Arabidopsis thaliana: one gene and its partners. The protein of the gene in region 1 interacts with the protein of each later gene in a pairwise test. Each region holds a gene or a part of one and is shown on either strand. Other genes may lie near its edges. The genes, in order: AT4G32190, TRFL5 and CYTC-1.

Region 1 (7,996 bases):
AACCCGACTTTTGTACTTAGCATGAACGATTGAAATATGATTTGATTGAGTATCAGAGTATATATATGGCAAAATTTTGGTCCGAATCAAGCTTAAATATTATCCTTTTTCAAATTTTCATTTCTATATATTTTTTTGCTTTTATGTCATGATGCATGTTTACAATTTTATTATTTCTAATAATTATTAAGTTTTGTCAAATAAAAAACTTTATAATATTTTATTTTAAAATCTTTATTTTTTTTGAAGAAATCCTCTTAAAGTCTCCACCACCATTGGACAATAAAAAATTGTAAAGATTCAATAAAAACTCTAAACTTTAAATTATTTAATATTTATTATTATAAAATGCAAAGAGTTCTTGATTAAGACTCTCCAATAGACTTGCTCACAGTGACAAGTAAACATATTTAACCGCCAGTAATTCTACATATCCACAAAAGAATCATACAGATTAGGCTTATAAAGTTAATCAAAGCTTTATAAAATTACACCTTCCATGCATGTAGATGTACCAGCAACGATTCCTGCGTTCTCCAGGAGTTTCTCTGTCAAGGACCAGAGCCTGACAACTTCTGTTTTTACCTCACCAAGACACTCATTACTTCCTTCTGAATACCCTCTCTCTGGCATTACAGTGTGAGTTGTGTCGGCCTCAATGCTCATGTCAGCTTGAGTTAACAGTTCCGTGCTCATTTTTGCAAGCTTCTGTAATGCACTGGTCGCAGCTTCAACTTCAAGGTTAGCTGCCTCAAGCTGAAGCATCTCTATGGCCAGATCACCCATTGTTTTTTCCCCGACTCTCTCTTGTGCCAAGGCATATAGCACTTTCAAATCTTCACTGTCATTGATCGTTTCTTCTTTCAATTTCTTGAGTTCCTGCTCCTTGGCTTCTAATCTTCCCATGACCACGTTGATCTCTTCGTCTTTAAATGTCAAAGCCCTCTGCACCGCTAGAACTTCCATTTCTTTCATCCGTAGATTTTCTCTGGTGAAGCTTAACTCCATCACCAGCCGTTTGTTCTCCATTCCGTAATCATCATGAGGTTTCTCTAGTGGTTGCTGCATTGAGTCAATGCTTATCTCATTGTTAATCCTCATTGCATTCTGATTTTGACCGTTGGTGGTTGACATAAGCAGTCTGTTCGTCAATTCTGCAATTCTTTCCACCACCATTTCAGCTTCAGTGACTTTCAGCTTGGAACTGCCCAACTCACCTTCTATTCTGTGAAGGTGGACATCTTTCTCCTTCAGCATCTCAGTTGCCTCCATAAGCTGATCTTCTCTACTGATCATAAGTGCCTTTAGCTCTGTTACCTCCTGGTTCACTTCTCCCAATTTATTTCGAGCTTCAGCGAGTTCTTCATCCTTTTCTTGCAGTAATAGTTCTAGAGAAGCCTGTTCGGACTTCAGATGCTGAATCTCTAGTTTGGCCTCCACCAAACTTGACTCTTTCTCCTGAAGTAGATTTTGTGATACCTGAAACGCATTAGCTTTTTTGTAAAGCTCATCTTGAATAACGGATATATCATGCATAGCTAGCTCCAACAATGGTTTCTCTTTCTGCAACTCCTCTCGTAAATCCTCCAGCAATTCTTTTTGGACCGATATTTCCCGCTCAAGCGCAAAATTTTTAGCCTCAACAACTCTGAGCTTTACTCTCTCACTTTCAACTTCAGTGTGCGCATCCCTCAAGCTTTGCATATATGACAACACACTTTTCCTCTGTTCCTCGAGTTCCTCCAATTGTTTTTCCAATAGTAGCTCTTTTTCTTCCATTTGCTCCCTGGAAAATACCAAAGCTTCCCGAGAAGAAATAAGCTCGAATCTTACATCAGTCAGAAGCTTTTTCACTTTCATGAAGTCCTCCATGGTTTCATTGGCTTCTCCTAAACGTTTCACGGTTTCCTCTTTAAGCTTATTCACTTCATCCTGGGCTATCAGCCACTCTTCTGTCTGTTTCTTCAAGTTGGCTTCTGTTTCTCTAAGCTTTTCTTGTTCAAGTTTCTTCGTAGCCTTAGAAATCTCTAATTCTTCTTCCTTCTCCTCAAGAGCTCTCTGAAGTGCATATATTTCACCTTCTTGTCTCTTGACAACTTCGTTGGCTTTGCTTAAGAGTTGTGACTTGCTTTCAAATTCAGAAATAGCCATAGAAACCTCCTTGCTTCTGTTTGCAATCTCTTGACGCATCTTCTCTAGCTCTTCCTCTTTCAAAGTCAAGGACGATTGCAAAGCAGCACGTTCCTCGTCTCTTTCCCTTAGCTTATGCTTTAACTCTTCTATCTCCCTGGCTTGAGAAGCTAACTCCACATTTGCCCGCTTCAGCTCCTCTTGTAGACTCTCATGCTTCAACGAAGCTTCAGAGATTGTTTTCTCACGTTTTTCTAACTCCTCCTTTGCCCGGTTAAGTTTATTTTTGTCAGAGAGAAGCTTCCTCTCAGCATCGTGCAGGTCCTCTTCCCTTTTCAACAAGGCCACTAGCGCAGCCTCAAGGTCAGACTCAAGCACGCCAAGGTTTGAATAGGGGAGATCATCATCGTCAGGATAAACCGAGTGTTGATTGGTTTGTCTCTCCAATCTGTGTGTCCGAGCAAATAATTTATCGAAAAGAACATTTGCAGACTCAGCTGAGCCATTGTCGTTGATGTTGGGTCTTGTATTGTGCAAGACTGATTGAACACTCAGTAAAAGATGTCTCTTTCTCCTTGTAATGCTCGGGAATGCGACAAGACTCTTCTGCTTATGGTTTACTACTCTTGTCAAACAATACTGCATAAGAAAAAATCATATGGCCGACATCAAAATCAAAATCAAAAGTTTGATTATTTTGGACAGACACTAATCAATATGGATGCAAGCAAACTTATTCAAATTAAAGGAACAGTATTGAAATTTGCAATCTTTTTAAGCCAGAACAAGGAACAATCAGAACAAGGCCAGCAAAAGTCAAAAATTCAAGTTTGATAAAGTTAAGAGTAAGTAAAGTGTTGTGAATCAGCAGCGATATATAAATGAAAATATAGGGGATAATATAGAGAAAGGTAAGGAAACAAACATCGCAGGGAGAGGGAGAGGAGAAGGAAGCAAGATTCAAGCGAATGGCCTGAGAGAAACCCATCCTGAGAGCATAATTATGCAATCGCCATGGAGCTTAAAGACGGAACAAAACCCAAATCCACTGGATCAAATTTAACAAGTGGGCGTTTTGGAGAAGAATGCTTACGAGAACAAATCCAAGGAAGAAGAAGAAGAATCTAGCTAGGGAATGGATATTGTTACAAAATTCTTTTACCAAAAAAAAGGATACAAAATAATAAATAGAGGCTCGCGTTGGCTTGCGAGTTGTGGTCGCCAGTAAACTCGAAAGTCCTTTTTGCCCTTATTCATAAGATGCATGTCGGCATTGTCCAAATACACGGCCAAGGGATCTATTTGTAAAAATAATGGACTCTTCTTAATTACGTACGTGGTAACGGTTTTCTAGTATGACAATTCTCTTTCTTTCGCGTAGTCGGCTAGTCGCGTGGTTAGAAATGCTTACACACTAAAGAGTATGTTATATTAAACTGGAATATAAATTTAAGAAACTGAATAAAAGTCATCAGGCCCATGACATTGGCCCAATAGACCCAATGAAAAACCAATCCATCAGCTAGTTTTCTTAACATATCAACCCAACGAGGTTGTATCTTGTTACATTTGCAAGTGAACTTTTTTATCATTAAAAAATGTAACAATGGTATTTTTGGTTTAGTGTTCCTAAAATATTTGTTTCCCACATAAGATTTTATCTACACCAAATAGTCCAATTGTATAATATAATCCATCTTCACAAAAGCATTTTAAAGGATATCCTACCTTCTAAATTCCGGCGAAAAATATCTTAAATCTGAAAAAGTGATTTATCGTGAATAGTGTAATGTTAGCAAAATCTTAAACTTCAAAAAATCGTAAAACATAAAGAATTAAGTGTGACGGATTAATTAAGATATCGAAACCAACACAGTAATCCTCATCTATGACTTGGAAAAACTCATAAGTGGCAAGTGGAGTTCGAGTTTGGTCATTATTGTGAAACACCAAACCTAATCCACTTACAAATTCATTAAAAACTACAAATTTGTGTGGTAGTTTTTTTTTTTTTTTGGGAAATTTATGTGGTAGTTAATTAGTTAACAAACAATTATATATAAATACAAATTTTGTTTGGAGTTAGGTCCGCTTCAGCCTGCTTAAGCGATTCTAAGCTTAGTCGTATAATCGTATTAGCAAAAGCTCGAACAGTTTACTTCTTTACCCTGGAAAGTCTTATCATCATCAGTTCGTGTCGTTTGACTTTTTAAACTTTGCAAGGAAGGGTTTTGTGGTGGTTTGGGAGAATTAGGCAATTGTTGGTGATCCGATTTTTCTGGGTTTGGTTGGGTTCCTTTTTTATTTTTTAATAAAAAAAAAAAATGGCGGGTCAAGAGGATGAGTATGATCCAATTCTTGACAATAAAAGAGAAGCTGAAGCAAAATCTCAGGTTTCTGTTGCTGCTGATAAAAATATGGCTCCTTCTACTTCTGGTACTCCGATCCACAGATCAGGCTCTAGACCTCAGCTTGATCTAAGCAAAGCCGAAATTCAGGGGAACCTCGAGGAGAGAGATCCCACCATTTTATTGCCTAATCAGTCTGATGATATCTCTCATTTGGCTCTTGATATCGGAGGTGACAACAAATTTCACTTCTTTTTTATTTTCACTGTAGTTGACCATTGATCTAGTGCTTGTGGTTCTTCCAGTAGTATTTGGTGTCACTTCTTGGTTTTGGCAATTTCGATGTTTATTTCTTAAGTGCTATGTTTGAGAATTATGAACCCTTTTAAGTTTATTTGCAGGTTCTTTGATAAAGTTGTTGTATTTTTCACGACATGAGGACTACTCTAATGATGATGATAAGCGGAAGAGGACGATCAAGGAGAGATTGGGTATTACCAATGGCAACTTGAGAAGTTATCCTGTTCTTGGTGGTAGACTTCATTTTGTCAAGTTTGAGACTCACAAAATTAATGAGTGCTTGGATTTTATTCATTCCAAGCAGCTTCATCGCCGAGGTATTATTACTTTTATCCTTTTCAGTGTATGAAATGTTGTTTTGTATTATAAGATCAATTTCTGGTGATTTACTCTTCAATTCGTCTTCTTCTCCATTTCTTTTCAACTAAATGAATAGATCCTTATCCTTGGAGTTCAAAGACCTTGCCTTTGGGGACTGGTGTTATCAAGGTAATCGCATTTTTATGACTTGATTGTTTTTATCTTTATCACCTTTTGAGGCTCCTTCTGCATATATTTAGCTCGCTCTTTCATTTGAGATACCAGATAACATTTAAGACCCTCATAATTATTGTTTTTAGGTGAAACGTTTTTTATATTTATAAGTCTTGTATATCCATGTAATGTGATTTGCTGATTCGGCTTTGATTAGTTGATTATTACTTGTTTTAAACATATGAGTCAAGCGTACGTGTATCTTTCAGGTCACAGGTGGCGGGGCATTTAAATTTGCAGACTTGTTCAAGGAACGGCTGGGCGTTAGTATTGAGAAAGAAGATGAAATGCATTGTCTTGTTTCTGGAGCAAATTTTTTGCTCAAGGTAAGACCTTTCTTTATGCAACATTCCATTTATGTTGTCTCTGCATACATATTTGTACCTTTTATTACTAGCACTTGCGAAATAGAAACGTAAAGACAGACTCTCATTATATGTGACCGGTTGATTTGTTTGTTGAAGTTCTGAGTCACATGAGAGAAAAACAGCTGGATATCTGTATGTGTGTTTTACTATACTTAAAGTTCTGCTAAGACTATTGAAATTTTGCAATTAGTCTACTTTTCTTTTGTCTATTTGCATGTGTATGTTTTGAATTTATTCTTAGTTTCTTGCATTTTCTGCAGGCTATTCGACATGAAGCCTTTACGCACATGGAGGGTGAGAAAGAATTTGTACAGATAGATCCCAATGACTTGTATCCTTATCTTCTTGTGAACGTTGGATCTGGTGTTAGCATAATCAAGGTATTTGTTTACGTTTGCTACTTTTTTCACAATCAGTGTGTGTTTGGCTCCTTGAACTTCTGAATTGGGAGGTCAGAAGATTGCATGGACCTGTAGATTTCATGCAATGGCTTTTCAAAGTATAGGTTGATGGTGAAGGAAAGTTTGAACGTGTGAGTGGAACTAATGTTGGCGGTGGTACCTATTGGGGCTTAGGAAGACTTCTAACGAAGTGCAAGAGGTTACAGAGCTCTGATTTTACATTATTTCTTTATATTTTTGTTTCCTATACCTTACACTGTTTTCTTTTGTTTCAGTTTTGATGAATTGCTAGAACTCAGCCAAAAGGGAGATAATAGTGCCATTGACATGCTCGTTGGTGATATTTATGGTGGCATGGATTACTCCAAGGTAGGAGTCAACTTTGCATCAAACTACATGTGATCTCATTTGTTATAGGATGTGACTACTCTCCTATTGAAACTCAGAATGCTTTATTACTACTGTTCTAGTAATTCTCATTAATCAATCATACAGATTGGTCTCTCTGCTTCAACAATAGCTTCTAGTTTTGGCAAGGCGATATCTGAAAATAAGGAACTGGACGATTACAGACCTGAAGATATTTCCTTGTCTCTGTTGCGGATGATTTCATACAATATTGGGCAGGTATGCATTGGCGAGTCCAAAGGATTCAACGAAGTTCTTAAGCAAGAATAAGCCTAAATGTTTCTCATTTTTATTCCTAAGCATGATTCCATTTGGAAGTTTTGATCAGTGAATGTGATAAGTTATTGAGAATATTATGAGTTTCTGATTTGTTTTGTTGCTGTGTAGATATCGTACTTGAATGCCCTTCGCTTTGGGTTGAAGCGAATATTTTTTGGAGGATTTTTCATAAGGGGTCATGCATATACCATGGATACAATTTCATTTGCTGTACATTTCTGGTAACTTCACTTGTAAACTTGACCTAGATGTGATATGCGTACTCACCTTCTTCACTCAAACTTATTTATTTATTGCTTGACTACACTAGGTCTAAGGGAGAGATGCAAGCTATGTTCTTGAGACATGAAGGTTTTCTGGGTGCTCTAGGTGCGTTCATGAGCTATGAGAAGCACGGATTGGATGATTTAATGTCCCATCAGTTGGTTGAGAGGTTCCCAATGGGTGCACCATATACTGGAGGAAATATTCACGGACCACCACTCGGTGATTTGGACGAGAAGGTACGAAATTTAGCTTACGCTTTACCAAAGTCTCAGTTTGTTCTATTTAATACTTTGAAACTGACAGCCAAAAAAATTCCGTAATGACATGGGACTTCTCAAAATATGAAAGTGCGGGAATATGATACCATTTATGCCTTGTGCTGGGTAAAGTGTATGCTGGTTACCATTATAGTATTCTTTAGGCAGTTGCATTGTAGAATATGCTTTTCTTGAAATTGGAATCTTTTGGCAAATGTTTGATCTTCCATGGACTTACTGAATATTATGGCCGAAGGAGATGGTCGGATACTTTGAGACTGTTGAAGTGCACTATGACTTGTTCCTTTCCATGGTTTGTGTGCTGACTGAATTTTTTTGGATACTCAATCATTAATCTTGATGATTAGTCATAGTTTATGCTTGTATGGATATTTTTCGCTGTGAAGTTTACTGGTTCTTTCCTTTTTATATACAAAGTATCATTTTGTGTGACAAACGAATAATAGAAAGCAAGAGTAAGAAAAACCTCGTTTTCAAATCTGTCACAGTTATATTCTCTTTTCTTTTATGTATATATCAAAAACGAGATGGAATCAAGTGCTTTTTTCCCACTTTCCTTGTGCTAATGGTAGAGAGATATCACATCAACTAGTTATAAGTGTTGTGTGTCTTGACTCTGTTCTAGATAAGTTTTGGAGTTTAAAAAGGCTTTCCTGGTTGCTTTCAGATTTCGTGGATGGAGA
Region 2 (7,996 bases), on another chromosome or scaffold:
GGTTGCCTTTGCTTGTGTTGTATTTTGACATGTTATTCTGGTTTGTTGTGTACAGGGATTTGCCATTGGCTCTGCTGCCCTAGTCTCCTTGGCTCTCTTTGGTGCCTTTGTGAGCCGTGCAGGGATCCACACCGTAGATGTTTTGACCCCTAAAGTTATCATTGGGCTCCTTGTTGGTGCCATGCTTCCTTACTGGTTCTCTGCCATGACAATGAAGAGTGTGGGAAGTGCAGCTCTTAAGATGGTTGAAGAAGTTCGCAGGCAGTTCAACACCATCCCTGGACTTATGGAAGGAACCGCAAAACCAGACTACGCCACATGTGTCAAGATCTCCACCGATGCTTCCATCAAGGAAATGATACCTCCTGGTTGCCTTGTCATGCTCACACCTCTCATTGTTGGTTTCTTCTTTGGAGTTGAGACCCTCTCTGGTGTCCTCGCCGGATCTCTTGTATCCGGTGTTCAGGTAAAGTATATTCTCAATTCAATTGTGAATAACTATTCTTAAAAAAAATGCTCATCGATGCTCTCTGTTTATTCTATTCAGATCGCCATATCAGCATCTAACACTGGTGGTGCCTGGGACAACGCCAAGAAATACATCGAGGTAATGGAATTTTCTTGTAGCTTAAATCAAACCATTTGAAAATATGAAGTCAAATCCTTAAGCATTGTTATATATTCGCAGGCTGGTGTATCAGAGCACGCAAAGAGCCTTGGACCAAAGGGTTCAGAGCCACACAAGGCAGCTGTGATTGGAGACACAATTGGAGACCCATTGAAGGATACTTCAGGACCTTCATTGAACATCCTCATCAAGCTCATGGCTGTTGAGTCTCTTGTCTTTGCTCCCTTCTTCGCCACTCACGGTGGTATCCTTTTCAAGTACTTCTAAACTCAATCCGAGGGAAGAAGATGACGATGATGAAGAAGAAGAAGATGATGATGGCGATCGATTCTAAACTTTCTTTTTTACCATTCTTATTTTCGTTTACCGTAGGTGGTTAAAAAACCTTTTTTGTTGATGAGGCTCATTTAAAGAACCAACCAAATGATGTTTCTTTCTCTCACTCTCTGTCTTTCTGTTTTCTTTTTGTTCTGTTTAGAATTTAGAAATCCACCAAGTATTCGGTCGAGACTTGTTTTAGCCGTTACTTTCTGCTGCTTATATTTCCTAAATTGGTTGTCTTCTTCGAGACATAATTGGAATTTATTGTTACTGTTAGTCTTTTGTCGGCGTTAGGTGTAAACGATTCTCAATTTCTCATGATCTGTAAATTCTTTCATGACATTTATTACCACAAACAACAAATGATTTTACACAGCTGTAGTTTCTACCTAAGACTCTCGAAGAGCTTCTGCTCCAGCCACAATCTCCAGCAACTCCCCAGTGATCTTAGCCTGTCTCGCTCGGTTATAAGCCATCGTCAGATTCTTCTTCAATTCAACCGCATTATCAGTCGCATTACTCATCGCATTCATCCTCGACGCAAGCTCACTCGCTAAAGATTCCTGCAGTGCTCTTAGAATCTGACTGTTGAGATACAAAGGCATCATTGCATCAAGAATCTGAACAGGGTCTTGCTCAAACTGCATCAACGGTGAGATCTCAGGCTTCTCAACTTCAAGCTTGGTCCTTTCCACAGCTAACTTCCCATCTTTGCTCGTTAGCCTAAACATCTCATCCTCGATAGCATCAACACACTCACCTTTCACATCACAAGACTCTCCTTTCATCGACAAAGGCAACAGAGTGTGGATCACAGGATCAGATTTCACCAAAGACACAAACTTTGTGTAAACAAGCTCAACTTTATCAACCTCTTCACTGACAAACAAGGAAAACACATCATCTGCAATAACTTGAGCTTCTTTAGTCGTTGGGAAAACACCTCCTCCTTCAATACATTTATCAACATCAAATTCATCTCTCCGACTAAAATAAGCATTCCCTTTCTTACCTACACTTATCACAACACAGTCTATTCCTCTCTGCTTCAACTCTTGAACTCGCAGAGTAGCTTTCTTGGTCACTGCATTGTTGAAACCACCACACAATCCTTTATCGCCAGTAACAACAACCAAAGCAACTCTCTTCACGGGTCTAACAATGCTCAGAGGAAAATCAATGTCTTCTAATTGAGCAGATTGGTTAATTGAGTAGAGAATCTCCACAAGAGTTTCAGTGAAAGGTCTACCCTTTATGACTGCATCTTGAGCTCGACGAACTCTAGCTGCCGCCACGAGTCTCATCGCTTCCGTTATCTTCTGGGTATTCTTCACACTGTCGATTCGTTCTCGTAACTCTCGGATTCCAGCTCGAATTTGAATTGAGGGCAACGGAGATCTCGACGAAATCCGGTTTGGTGTCAGTGATTGAAACGGATAATAACGAACTGGTTTCAAGGTAGCTATGAAAGAGTAGGACTCTGAGCTCGAAGCCGAATTCGAATTCGAAGGAGACGACAAGAGCCAAGAGGTCGAGATCGAACCTGTCATTTTCGTTTGGGAAAGAAGACCCTGAACTTGAGAGGTTTAAGATTTCATCTTCTCGTGAAGAAATGAGCAAAGAAAGAGAACTTGAGGGGTTTTCTGTAATTATCATGTTTATTAGGGGTCAGTATATAAAAATTACTACAAAAGTCAAAATTAGAGTTTTTGTTTTTTTTTTTCTATGAGAAAAACGAGGGAAATATCAATAACCCTCCTAAATCCTAATAAAAATTACTACAAATAGCCAAATTAATAGAAAACCAAAAAACAACAACTATAGTCAGCATATGAAAATTACGAAATTTTCTTTTTAAAGATTCATATATAGGAAGAGATTGAACTTTAAAGTAACAAATCAAAATAAAATTATGGACAAATAAAAACTCTAGTCCTTCAGAAAAAGAAATATTGTAAATGCGGGTTACTAAATACAAATGAATACAAAACAGTACCTACAAATTTCCTTGGAACGACTTTTAATTTTGACCTCAATTTTTTATTTCCATTATGGTCCTTGTGTTGTTGTGTATTTAGCATTTTGTTTTTCTTGGGTCAATCAGCATCACCACGTTTAGGCCACGACATAAAATTGATCCGTTTATTTTTGAGGCTCGCTCGCATCTTCTTCCTCCTTTGGCGCAACCGCTTCTTCCTCTTCTATTCTCACAGATTTCTCTAAGCTCCCAACTTTGGAGCTAAAACTCAATCAACACTACTCACAATGCTACTCCATTTCTCTCCGGCGAAACCCCTCATTTCTCCACCCAATCTCCGCCGCAATTCACCCACATTCCTCATTTCCCCGCCGCGATCTCTTCGAATTCGAGCAATCGACGCCGCCCAAATCTTCGATTACGAAACCCAACTCAAATCCGAGTACCGCAAATCCTCTGCTCTCAAAATCGCCGTCTTGGGTTTCGGCAATTTCGGCCAATTCCTCTCCAAAACCCTAATTCGACACGGCCACGATCTAATCACTCACTCCCGCTCCGATTACTCCGACGCCGCAAACTCAATCGGAGCTCGTTTCTTCGATAACCCTCACGATCTCTGTGAACAACATCCCGACGTTGTCCTCCTCTGTACCTCAATCCTCTCCACAGAATCAGTCCTCAGATCATTCCCTTTCCAACGTCTCCGTCGTAGCACACTCTTCGTCGATGTTCTCTCCGTTAAGGAATTCCCAAAAGCCCTCTTCATTAAATACCTTCCTAAGGAGTTTGACATTCTCTGTACTCATCCAATGTTTGGACCTGAGAGTGGTAAGCATTCTTGGTCTGGCTTGCCCTTTGTCTACGATAAGGTGAGAATCGGAGACGCAGCTTCAAGACAAGAGAGGTGTGAGAAGTTTCTAAGAATTTTTGAGAATGAAGGTTGCAAGATGGTTGAAATGAGCTGTGAGAAGCATGATTATTACGCAGCTGGATCGCAATTCGTGACGCATACTATGGGAAGGGTTTTGGAGAAATATGGAGTTGAGTCTTCGCCGATTAACACCAAAGGTTATGAGACGTTGTTGGATTTGGTGGAGAACACATCGAGTGATAGCTTTGAGCTTTTCTACGGTTTGTTTATGTATAATCCGAATGCTCTTGAACAGTTGGAGAGATTGGATATGGCTTTTGAGTCTGTTAAGAAGGAGCTGTTTGGGAGATTACATCAGCAATACAGGAAGCAAATGTTTGGTGGGGAGGTTCAATCGCCCAAGAAAACTGAGCAGAAATTGCTCAATGATGGTGGTGTTGTTCCTATGAATGATATATCATCATCATCATCATCATCATCATCATCATCTTAAGATCACAAGTTTGATTGGATTATGCTAGATTCAAAAATAAAAAGTTGTGACTTTTTTGGAAAACGTCAAGAGTGGAAAATAAAAAAGGGATTTTGGTGTGTTCATATGTATGTTGGGGTCTCTTTTGGCTTGGTATCAATAAACTTGTCTTTTTTTCTCTAAATGTATCTGTGGAAATGCTTATCCCTCTGGTCGCCGGAAACAAATACGGACAAATTGTCTCCTTCTCCGGCCATATTTGTATTGGATCAACATTGTATTGCTCAAAAGTCATTACTGTTTTTCTCTGTCTCCAATGATCTCGGGTCACCCACCCGATTCGGATCAGGACAACATCGTTTCGTTATGGGCCGATTATATAATGGGCCGCTTGAATGTCTCGTCTTATTTAATTAAAAGAAAAAAACACATTTTAAATTTGAATGATTCACACGTGTGTTGTTGCCACCATAGTTGGTCGGAGCTTTTCCTCTTCCCAAAATTGTAACCCTAACCACGCACCGACGGCGAAAACTGATCGCGGGTTTTCGCATCTTTTACTTGCAAAGTCTTGGAAATGGAAGTGATGGACAAATGGGTAGCTGAATTTTTCCTCCGACGCCAACTAAATCCTAGGGTTTACGCTTTTCCACTGTTATCGGCTCTGAAACCAGTAGATTCCGACGACTGTGTAAAACTCAAGCTAACTGCTGTTTTGCGGGATATCTCCAATTCCATGATTCAAGGTACCGTAGACGAAGGAATGCTTGATCTCCTCGAAATTCTTGAGAAGCTTCTGTTACAGGAACATTCGGTTATCATGGGATCTCTCAAATCTGCGTATTGCTGGACTGCTGTGGAATGCACGCTTAGGTTTATGTGGCCAGTGAATGCTTCGGATGGCTTCTTCGGTGATGCCCTTGAGAGGATTTGGAGGAATCGGATTGGGACATTGAAGGAGAAAGAGAGCGACTTGGTGACTCGTGAGTTGTTGAAATGGGAGAGTGATCTAAACAAGGCGTTTGAGGAACCTGAGATTTACCAGAAGATTCGTGAGACTAACATCAGGTACAATGCCATCTCTCATCTTAATCAGCTTCTCAAAGAGCAGTGGGCACTACTTGGATGTTCTTCTCTTGAATCAGAAGCTCGAAAGAGGTTTCTTAAGCGTAAGGATTCACCATATGCTTCCCGGAGAGGAGGTAATAGAGAGAAAGCTAATGATGTTGAAGAAGTGGGTGGTGTGGAGAATCCTGATGGGGTTGGTAAGGTGAATGAACATGAACAGGAACACGAGCCAAGTCTTAATAAGGGGGAAATGTTGGTAGCTCGAGAGCTTAAGGATTTTTTGTTGGAGATTCAAAGACTCATCGACCCTATAACAAGGCAAGATCAAGAACCTAACAATGCAATGGAGCATTCAGTTGATGTCACTCCTCAGCCTGATGGGGCAAATAGGACTGATGCAGAAGATAGTGAGGGAACATCATCGTCTAGAAGAGTCAGGCCTCATCTACCAACCCCGGAACCTCTGAATGTATCACCGTTGAAGAAAGGAAGATTAGAAAGACCGCGTCCCAGAAGGCCAATGAAATTCTGGACTTCTGAAGAAGTGGCAGCTTTGAGGGAAGGAGTTAAAGAATATGGAAAATCATGGAAAGATATCAAGAATTCATACCCTGTTGTTTTCGCTGATAGGAGCGAGGTGGATTTGAAGGATAAGTGGAGGAATTTACTTGGTCGTCAGTAGTAGGAATCTTACCTTCTAACTTATGGGCATTTTGGTTTTGGGATCTTGTGTAGTTTTGCCGCTTGTGTTAGAAAGGGACTCACTTTTTGTACGGTGAAGGCTTTAATATGTTCTTGATTCAGGCTCTTGTAGTTAGTGTCAAGCTTTAGACGATATTTCTTGTTCAAAAATCTATTGACCAGTTGATTACAAAATGGAATGATTTTAAATATTTGGTCCTATAATCAAATCAAGCAAGCTCTGAAACCCATCTCTAACTCCTCCCGGTTCAAATTCTTGCCGATGAAAACAATCTTGTTGGTTCTTGTTTCATCTTTTCTCCATAACCGGTCAGGTGATCCTTCAAATATTTCATGAACTCCCTGTTCCAACCATTATAAACCACAAACGTCAGAGATAATTTACATCCCAAGGCTTCGATGCTTTAGAATTCATCCGAAATGATCAAAATAATGACAAAGGTTGGTCACCTGAAACACGAATCTCTCGTCCATGTCTTGTACGGAGAGGATACCTTTCATTCTGTAGATATCCTCACTACGTTGGTACAATAGCGCCCCAAGCCACATGTTAGCCTGATCCATTTTCAAAACTAAGGTTATAGATGATGCAAGTAATCAATCGCACATCTCAACAATCGTTTTAATTATAAGTAACACGTCAGGTGCTACAGTTTTATGCATCACATGTGACACAACTTGAGCCATATTGGGTTAATACCTTCTCGAGGTCTAAGTCTCCTTCGCAAACTATACTGACTGAACCAACACCAGGGTCATGGGTGTGATCATGAGAATGGTGATGCTCTGCAGTTTCAGAAGCAAACTAATCAATGCATGTAGGCGATCGTTATTAAGTAATAAGGCCATTATTTGGTAACACTATAACATACCGTGTTCATGCTCATGCTCATGCTCATTGTGGTGATCATGGCAGTCATGACCATGGTGATGATCATCATGACCCTCGCGATCTTCTTTCTCTTCTTCATTCACAGAGCTTTCAATTCTGGAAAGATAAAATAGTTGGCCACCAGCAATAAATCAGAGTAACAAAATCAGCCCTCTTAAACCAGGAAATCCACAACCAATAAACCATAACAAATGTAAGGAGCTACAATTCACTTTGGACAGAAGTTTTCGGAGTGACTCGTAATAAGATTTTTAGTAAGACGTAAAATAAAACCGGACCTTTCTAGATCAAACCCTCCAATTCCAAGAACATAATCCAAGTCAACCTTCCCATACTTTGTCCGCTTCATGTGAGCCATGCTGTTTATGGTCTGGAAATAACCACATCATAAATGCTAACGCAGTGCACAGAGAAAAATAGATGTTCAAAGAGAAAAAAGAAAGAATCAGAAGAAGCAGAACCTACCTTTATCCGCTGCATCACTGAAGCTAGTTCTGGCTCACCAACAAGATCAGTCTACAACAAAGTACAAACAATTTTCAGCTTGTATGATATGTCGAGGAGAACATACATAGCAGACCATTGAAAAGCTTCTACTATAAGCATCCACCACACATTTCAAATACAAGTTATGGTGATGTTAATCATGAAAATTAGGTCGAAATAGAACTTCACAATACCTTGTTAACAATGATACGATCCGCGTAAGCTATTTGTTCAACCGCCTCATTGACATAGCCTTCAGGTTTGACCTCATCTAGATGCAAACGAGCATGTTTAGCATCAACCAGAGTGACAACCCCATCCAGCTTGACATCATTGAAAATTTCATCCTCAGCATAGAAAGTTTGAATAATCGGAGCAGGGTTAGCCAATCCTGAAAGAAAATATACATAATATATTCATTTATTCTTTAATAACATAGTAGTTGGTTCTTAACGAATCATGTAGCTCCAGAGTGATAGAAAATATTGAACCTGTCGTCTCAATAACGATATGGTCGAACCTTCCTTTCTTGGTCTGGACCATTTCAGAAATCATCCTCACAAGATCACCCCTAACAG
Region 3 (7,702 bases), on another chromosome or scaffold:
TCAGTATATATAAAATCAATATTAATGAAATAATGCAATTAATAAATTACTTATTATAAGTTCTTATAAAAAAAATACTAGTGACCTCATTTTGTAATATCAAAAACTGGTGCCAACTTCATCTAACACGATTTATTTAACCTTGGTAATATTTTGAAAAAACCATAAATTTATAAAGTTGTTACAGTCAGATTTTAGTGGGCTAAAATGGGTTACAATTGCAATGGGTCTGGAAGTGGACAAATCTAAACAAGCGGCCCAAATCATCTGAGCACATGCCAGAACATTGAATAAATGTCAAAAAGGAGTCTCTTTCTACATAACCTTCACGCGCGGCTACTCCTACTTTCGCTTCGTCCGGTTCCGTCGATACTGTCTCCGAATCACTGTCTTCTTTCCTTTTTCTTCCTACATGACATCTGTCTTATCTCTTTTATGTTTCTCTAGATGTACTTATACTTCCATGTTTCGTCTGTATACGGTATGTTTCGCTCACCACATGTTCGATGAAATTCCTCAACGAAACTTTTTTTTTATCTTTCTCACCTTTCTTCCTTTGACTTTCAGACGGAGAAGCAAAATTGCTTGAACTTTCGCTTTGATGGATCAAACTAGTCTTGGAACAATAATCAAAATCCATTCGTTGCCATCATATGCAGCTTACTGTATATGCCGTCTTCTCCTTCTCGCTCTATACTCAGAGGTCTCACTGTATCCGAAATTTGCAAGTTTATTCCTCAATCGTGGAAACAGCTGCCGAGACCCATCTCAGAAACTTCCAAAACCCATGATGATGAATCAGTTCCACAAGTGCTTTTCAATTCATTTAGACATTGCATTTCCCATGGTCAATTATATGAAGCTTTCAGAACTTTCTCTCTACTTCGCTACCAGTCTGGTTCTCATGAATTCGTTTTGTATTCATCAGCTTCTCTTCTATCTACATGTGTGGGTTTTAATGAGTTTGTTCCTGGCCAGCAACTTCATGCTCATTGTATCTCGTCGGGTTTGGAGTTTGACTCTGTTTTGGTCCCAAAGTTGGTCACTTTCTACTCTGCTTTTAATCTCCTTGACGAAGCTCAGACCATTACTGAGAACTCTGAGATTTTGCATCCCTTGCCGTGGAATGTGCTCATCGGTTCGTATATTAGGAACAAAAGGTTTCAGGAGTCTGTTTCTGTTTACAAGCGAATGATGAGTAAAGGAATTAGAGCGGATGAATTTACTTACCCGTCTGTTATCAAGGCTTGTGCAGCATTACTGGATTTTGCATATGGGAGAGTTGTTCATGGCTCTATTGAGGTTAGCTCTCACAGGTGTAACTTGTATGTCTGCAACGCGTTGATATCTATGTATAAAAGATTTGGTAAAGTGGATGTTGCTCGGAGATTGTTTGACAGGATGTCTGAAAGGGATGCTGTCTCATGGAATGCAATAATCAACTGTTATACTTCAGAAGAAAAGTTAGGGGAAGCTTTTAAGCTTCTTGATAGAATGTATCTCTCTGGTGTCGAAGCGAGTATTGTAACTTGGAACACAATAGCTGGAGGTTGTTTGGAGGCAGGAAATTACATAGGGGCTTTGAATTGTGTTGTTGGGATGAGAAATTGCAATGTAAGAATAGGTTCTGTAGCTATGATTAATGGTTTAAAGGCATGCTCACACATTGGAGCGTTAAAGTGGGGGAAAGTATTTCATTGCCTTGTGATCCGTAGTTGTAGTTTTTCCCATGATATTGACAATGTTCGGAATTCGTTGATCACAATGTACTCAAGATGCAGTGATCTTAGGCACGCGTTTATAGTGTTTCAGCAGGTTGAAGCAAATAGTTTGAGTACATGGAATTCTATCATTTCCGGTTTTGCATACAACGAGAGATCAGAAGAAACCTCTTTCCTGCTCAAGGAGATGTTGCTCTCTGGATTTCACCCAAATCACATTACGCTTGCTAGCATTCTCCCTCTTTTTGCTCGGGTGGGAAACCTGCAACATGGGAAAGAGTTTCACTGCTACATCCTGAGACGCCAAAGCTACAAGGACTGTTTAATCCTGTGGAACTCCCTTGTCGATATGTATGCAAAATCCGGTGAAATCATAGCTGCAAAGCGAGTATTTGATTCGATGAGGAAGAGGGACAAAGTGACATACACTTCTTTGATCGATGGATATGGCAGGCTGGGTAAAGGAGAAGTCGCATTGGCATGGTTCAAGGATATGGACAGATCCGGTATCAAACCTGATCATGTAACTATGGTTGCAGTTTTATCAGCTTGCAGCCATTCCAATTTAGTGCGTGAAGGACACTGGTTGTTTACGAAGATGGAGCATGTGTTTGGTATACGCCTTCGCCTTGAACACTATTCTTGTATGGTTGATCTTTATTGCAGAGCAGGTTACCTGGATAAAGCCAGAGATATATTCCATACAATACCTTACGAGCCATCAAGTGCTATGTGTGCTACTCTACTGAAAGCGTGCCTCATCCACGGGAACACAAACATTGGGGAGTGGGCTGCAGATAAGTTACTACTAGAAACAAAGCCAGAACACTTAGGTCACTATATGTTGCTTGCAGATATGTATGCAGTAACTGGTTCTTGGAGCAAGCTTGTAACGGTGAAGACTTTACTGAGTGACTTGGGCGTGCAAAAGGCTCATGAGTTTGCTTTGATGGAAACAGATTCGGAGTTAGATGGAGAGAATAATAAGCCGATGAACGATGATTCTGTCATCAATCAGGAGCAAAGTTCAGATGAAGAACGTCTTGTAGAAGTAGGATAAAGAATCAAATTCTGATAGAAATATTTTATCAAACTGGAGAATCAATTTGTACATAAATCTTATATACAACAAGTTTTAATTGCATGATTTCCTGTAAACATAAGTTTACATGAACTAGGGGATGGTCCTTCGCAAGTATGAGTAACAAGCATAAACAGCATTATATATGAAATAAATATGAGCCCACCTAAACCCATTAAGGGCCCATTAAGATTGGAGATACTGCTTTTTTAAGAGAGGTCACTTTTTCCACAGTGAAACCCTAAGGAAACTTCGGCAAGCTCCAGAGAAACGAGAGTTCCGTAATCATTTTCTCTTGTTGTTCCTGATCGCGTAGCTCAAGCGAAAAAAATGGCGTCGTTTGATGAAGCACCACCAGGAAACGCCAAGGCCGGTGAGAAGATCTTCAGGACCAAGTGTGCTCAGTGTCACACCGTCGAAGCAGGCGCCGGTCACAAACAAGGTTTTCACTCATCGATCTCTCTCACTCTTGAATTCTATTTCTATGGTTGATTTTCGCAATTTATCTGAATTTTTATCGGGCCTTTGTTTTACATCGCTTTATAATCGATTTGTTCATGTTAATCAAAAATCTCTGATGTGATCTGGTTAACGGATTCTTCGATTAGATCATAGATCTGATCCAATAACCTCGATGTCTTACTCGTGTTTATCCTTAAATCTTCAGCTCAATGCATGTGACGAATTTCTGAGGTTTTTATATACAACTTTTCGCATTTTTGTGGAACTTGATTCTCGAATTCTAAGTAATGATACAACAATGATTTGAGCTAGTTGCGTCACAGATTCTCATTTTTTCTTGAAATTGCGTGAAATTAGAAAACACTGTTGCTCAATGGTTTCTATTGTTTTCGTAGCTTTTGTAGAATGTGATTTGCGTCACATTGTTGCTCAACACTTGACCTTGTTGTTTTAATATAGGACCCAATCTAAACGGTCTATTTGGAAGACAATCTGGTACAACTGCTGGTTACTCTTACTCTGCTGCTAACAAGAACAAAGCTGTGGAATGGGAAGAGAAGGCCTTGTACGATTACTTGCTCAACCCCAAGAAGGTTTGTATAATCATGTCATGATTGTTTCATGAGTTGTTGTTGTTAACATTGAGATTGATGGCCTTTTTATATGATGCAGTACATACCAGGTACCAAGATGGTGTTCCCTGGGCTAAAGAAGCCGCAAGACCGTGCTGATCTCATCGCCTACTTGAAGGAATCTACTGCGCCTAAGTGAATCTGATGGTGGATTGATTCTGAGTTGTTAAGTCTCTCTCAGATGAGGCTTTTTTACTTTGCTATATTCTTTTGCCAAATAAAATCTCAAACTTTTTTTGTTTATCATCAATTACGTTCTTGGTGGGAATTTGGCTGTAATGTGTGCTGAGGCTCACTTTATCGAGTACATTTGATTTTCTGAGGCTCATTTTCCTTTTTTTTGTCTAGAAAGCATTTTCTCACTTATTATTGGTGCTTAAATTTGAAGGACAAAAAAGATTCGAATTATATATCAACTATTAACAATAATGGAGCAATACATTTAACGTTGATACATGATACTCTGTTGGCGTTTTACAAATCCTAGAGAGTCAAAACCATTATCCAATCGCTGGCTTGTTTCCTACTTTGCATCTCTCTTCTCATCATCATCAATATCCTTTATAGCATCCTGCAACACACGGCAAGTAAAAGATATACATGAGACAGATTCATTTCACTTTACATCTTTTAAGTTTCAACCAAATGTGGGACTTTTCTGAGCTTATATGCTACGAAGCTTTGAACCAGTTGGTTTGATATCAGAAGTGGGAGGCAAATATAACGCAGAACAGAGAAAGAAAAGAAGTAAACAAGTATGAGTTTACCTTTGCAAGGCTTGTCACATATGTTCCAGCCAATGCAGTAACCAACAGACCCACCCCGAGAGTTAAAAGCTGGCCGTTTCCTCCAGGCAAGCCAACATTAGATTCTTCTTGCTGAAGCGACATAGACAGAAGATTGTCATTTGATGATTTTATGATGCTTGCCAGAGTCACCATGTATTCACAATTCAACAGGATATCAGACACAGTTTCTACAATTCAAGTTAACTTCCATAAGTTGACTAGCCTCCCTCGTATTGAGTACATGTTTACCATTCGATATCGATCTCCTTTTCATTAAGTCAAAAACAAAACTTTTAGCTGATGATTTTAGCTAGCTTTCTACCCTACACAAGTGCTGATCAACATGAACTTATTGTACACCATAGGCTTGAAATGAGAGAAGATAGGCATGTTTTTGTACAGTTCATTTTTTTGTGTCAAAGTGATATAGAGATTAGATAAAAAGACAACAGAACTCACAATGATTGCTCGTCCAAAAGCCCCGGCGCTGACATAAGCCCAAGAGCCTGGAAGCATACCCAACCAGCTGCAAAAACAGTATGATCCATGAATGAGTATGTAAACTCAGACTATAGCTTATCAAGTTGAAATCTTGTTCTCAAATGCAAAACAAATTGAATCAACTCCTGGTCAAGATTGCTTGAGAGTAAACACCAAGTGGACATTAAGTGCTGGGAACTAATTGACTACTACAACTCAAGTATCAAGCTTCTACAGCGGATATCATAGGGAAATAAGTATAACAAAGTTGCAAGAACACAGACCTTCCTAATACATAAGGCACAAACTTCACAGACGTCAACCCGTACAGGTAATTGCCAAGAGAGAAAGGAAGTAGAGGGCTTAGCCGAAGGAGAGTAACAACTCTAAACCCATTTTCACCAATCGCTTTATCAATGGCGAGGAACTTCTTGTTGTCTTCAACTAACTTAAGGATGCGCTCTCGGGCAAAATATCTAGCAATTAAGAAAGCAACACTAGCAGCCATCTAACACAGGAAAACCAAAATAACATATATCAACATGGGAAGGTCACTTGATGAGATTAAGGATTGTGTTCTTGGGAAGAATAAACTTACAGTTCCACTGATAGAAACTATGATAGTGCCAATGAGTGGACCGAAGAGAAGACCAGCCGACATCGTCAATGGGAGAGCTGGAATGGCTAGTATCTAACACAAATGATTCAAAAAACAAAACCTTGAAACTGGGGTCAATGAAGAGTATAAAAAACATCAAAAGCAGATGAAGAAGTATAAAAAAGCTTGCCTCAAGCCCAGCATAGACGGCAATGAATAACGCATACCCAGCCGTACCATAACCTGTTGTTTGATTCATCAAGAACACAAAACTCCATCAACTTACTTCTATCTAAATGCATCATCAATATCTAAAGGTCTATTCTCACTAAGTTCTATTAGCTTCTATGTATCGAATCGTTACCTTCGATGTAAGTGGAGAATTGAGTAAGGAAAGTATTGATCTGATCCCTGTAGACATATCCAACGCCGGCGAATCCACCAACAGTACCAATCAACAAAACTCCGGCTAAGATAGTACCCTTAATAGCAGCATCACCTTCCGATCCGCCATCATCATCGCTCTCAGACTTAACATCATCTTCGTCGTTTTCATCATTAGTGGATTTAGAATTGAAGAACCACCGGAGACTCTGAGGAGGCGGAGCGGTAGATGGGAGAGACTGTTGCTTCTTCTTCTTGGTTTGCTTTAGGGAAGAGCATGGTTTAAGGAAATGGAATCGTTTGTAGAGTCTAAAGGACGAAGAAGGAGGAGGAGGAGAGCAGAAGCGGGAGTTGCAGGTGAATGGAAGAGAAGAGGAGGAGGAGGATCTGAGAGTCAGACCTAGAGTGAGGCTGCGCATTCTTAAGCAGCTTTAATGGAGATGATGATGATGAAGACGAAGATTGGATTGAAGCAGTGCCATCTCAGTTTGGGCTTTTGGATTGGCGCGGCTTTGTTCTTGCCAAGTATCGTATTTTCGGATGGGCTTCTGGCGATCTAGAGCGCCACGTGTCTATCTGTTCTTAGGATCACGAAATTAAAATTAGTTTTCTTCCAGAAAAAACTACAAATCAAAAATTCAAGAAAATTGAATTTATATCGCATATTCGCATCAAATTTTTTTGCAACCAATTAATTCAGACAAAAAAACAAAATTTTTTTAGAAAATAACATTTTAAGGAACTTGATTTGTTTAGGGCTTAACTTGAAAATTAAGTTTTTGGCTTCAAAAAACAAAAACAAATATTATAATTGAACGATGCTTTAAACGACAGCGTTTAGTGTTTGTTAAGCTGTAATGGTAAGTCAAAATAACTCGAACGTGTCTGACTCTTTACTTTACCGGTAAGCGGCGACACTGATCACCGGAGTTTTTCAATCGCGGTCTTTCTTCTACTTAAATCCGATCACTACCATTGTACATCGTATATCTGGTTTAGGTCATGTCCAAATCTCGGGCAGTTGTGGAGCTCACCGCTCGTTTCGATCTCGGCGGCGACGATAAGATCCGAGCTTTATCTCTCTCACCTATCTCCGATTCTCAAACCCTAGTATACCTCGGAACCTACTCCGGATCTCTGATTCTCCTATCTCTCGACACTTTAACTAATACCGTCTCGCGTCTCGCAAGTGTATCGCTGAGCCCTTCTCCTGTTGAGTCTATCTTTGTACTCGGCGAGGAAAGAGGGAGAGTTCTAGCTCTCTGCAATGGTTACTTGTTCTTATTGGATTCGCTTCTTTCTCAACCAGCTAAGAGATTGGGTGGTTTATTGAAAGGGATCAATGTGATTGCTAAGAGAGTAAGAGGACGTGATTCGTCGAGTACTGACTTGTTGCCTTCTGAGATTTCAACGGATTCTAGCTCGAGTAAGAAGTTTCTTCAGTTGCTTGGTGCTGGGAATCTTGTGAGTGATGTTAGAGGTAATGATTCTAGACATGAGAGAGTCCAACAAGGTCACTATGTTTTCGCTGTTGCTATTGGTGAGAGAATGTTGCT

The links.
Region 2: the proteins of AT4G32190 (region 1) and TRFL5 interact in a two-hybrid assay, tested with the Arabidopsis thaliana proteins (one large-scale study listed by BioGRID).
Region 3: the proteins of AT4G32190 (region 1) and CYTC-1 interact in a two-hybrid assay, tested with the Arabidopsis thaliana proteins (one large-scale study listed by BioGRID).

What each region holds. Positions count from the first base shown.
Region 1 is NC_003075.7:15,540,174-15,548,169, reverse strand, and holds AT4G32190 (Myosin heavy chain-related protein), read right to left. Parts: upstream 3,371-7,996; 5' UTR 3,119-3,370; coding exon 3,056-3,118; intron 2,770-3,055; coding exon 481-2,769; 3' UTR 313-480; downstream 1-312. Other genes in the region: PANK2 (pantothenate kinase 2), read left to right, coding at 4,455-4,710, 4,880-5,095, 5,215-5,267, 5,522-5,638, 5,941-6,060, 6,186-6,280, 6,357-6,450, 6,577-6,708 and 3 more. UniProt on the Arabidopsis thaliana protein: Required for the initiation of starch granules biosynthesis in leaf chloroplasts. Involved in determining starch granule number and size in chloroplasts.
Region 2 is NC_003070.9:5,401,291-5,409,286, forward strand, and holds TRFL5 (TRF-like 5), read left to right. Parts: upstream 1-4,734; 5' UTR 4,735-4,847; coding exon 4,848-6,020; 3' UTR 6,021-6,196; downstream 6,197-7,996. Other genes in the region: AVP1 (Inorganic H pyrophosphatase family protein), read left to right, coding at 56-466, 548-607, 689-895; ATPC2 (ATPase, F1 complex, gamma subunit protein), read right to left, coding at 1,339-2,499; AT1G15710 (prephenate dehydrogenase family protein), read left to right, coding at 3,215-4,291; AT1G15730 (Cobalamin biosynthesis CobW-like protein), read right to left, coding at 6,245-6,382, 6,491-6,595, 6,741-6,826, 6,913-7,028, 7,211-7,302, 7,398-7,448, 7,613-7,809, 7,910-7,996.
Region 3 is NC_003070.9:8,076,252-8,083,953, forward strand, and holds CYTC-1 (CYTOCHROME C-1), read left to right. Parts: upstream 1-3,035; 5' UTR 3,036-3,132; coding exon 3,133-3,244; intron 3,245-3,260; exon of another isoform or gene 3,261-3,723; coding exon 3,724-3,857; coding exon of another isoform or gene 3,858-3,861; intron 3,862-3,936; coding exon 3,937-4,035; 3' UTR 4,036-4,323; downstream 4,324-7,702. Other genes in the region: AT1G22830 (Tetratricopeptide repeat (TPR)-like superfamily protein), read left to right, coding at 670-2,781; AT1G22850 (SNARE associated Golgi protein family), read right to left, coding at 4,420-4,467, 4,664-4,774, 5,144-5,210, 5,449-5,672, 5,763-5,855, 5,953-6,005, 6,127-6,565; AT1G22860 (Vacuolar sorting protein 39), read left to right, coding at 7,149-7,702. UniProt on the Arabidopsis thaliana protein: Electron carrier protein. The oxidized form of the cytochrome c heme group can accept an electron from the heme group of the cytochrome c1 subunit of cytochrome reductase.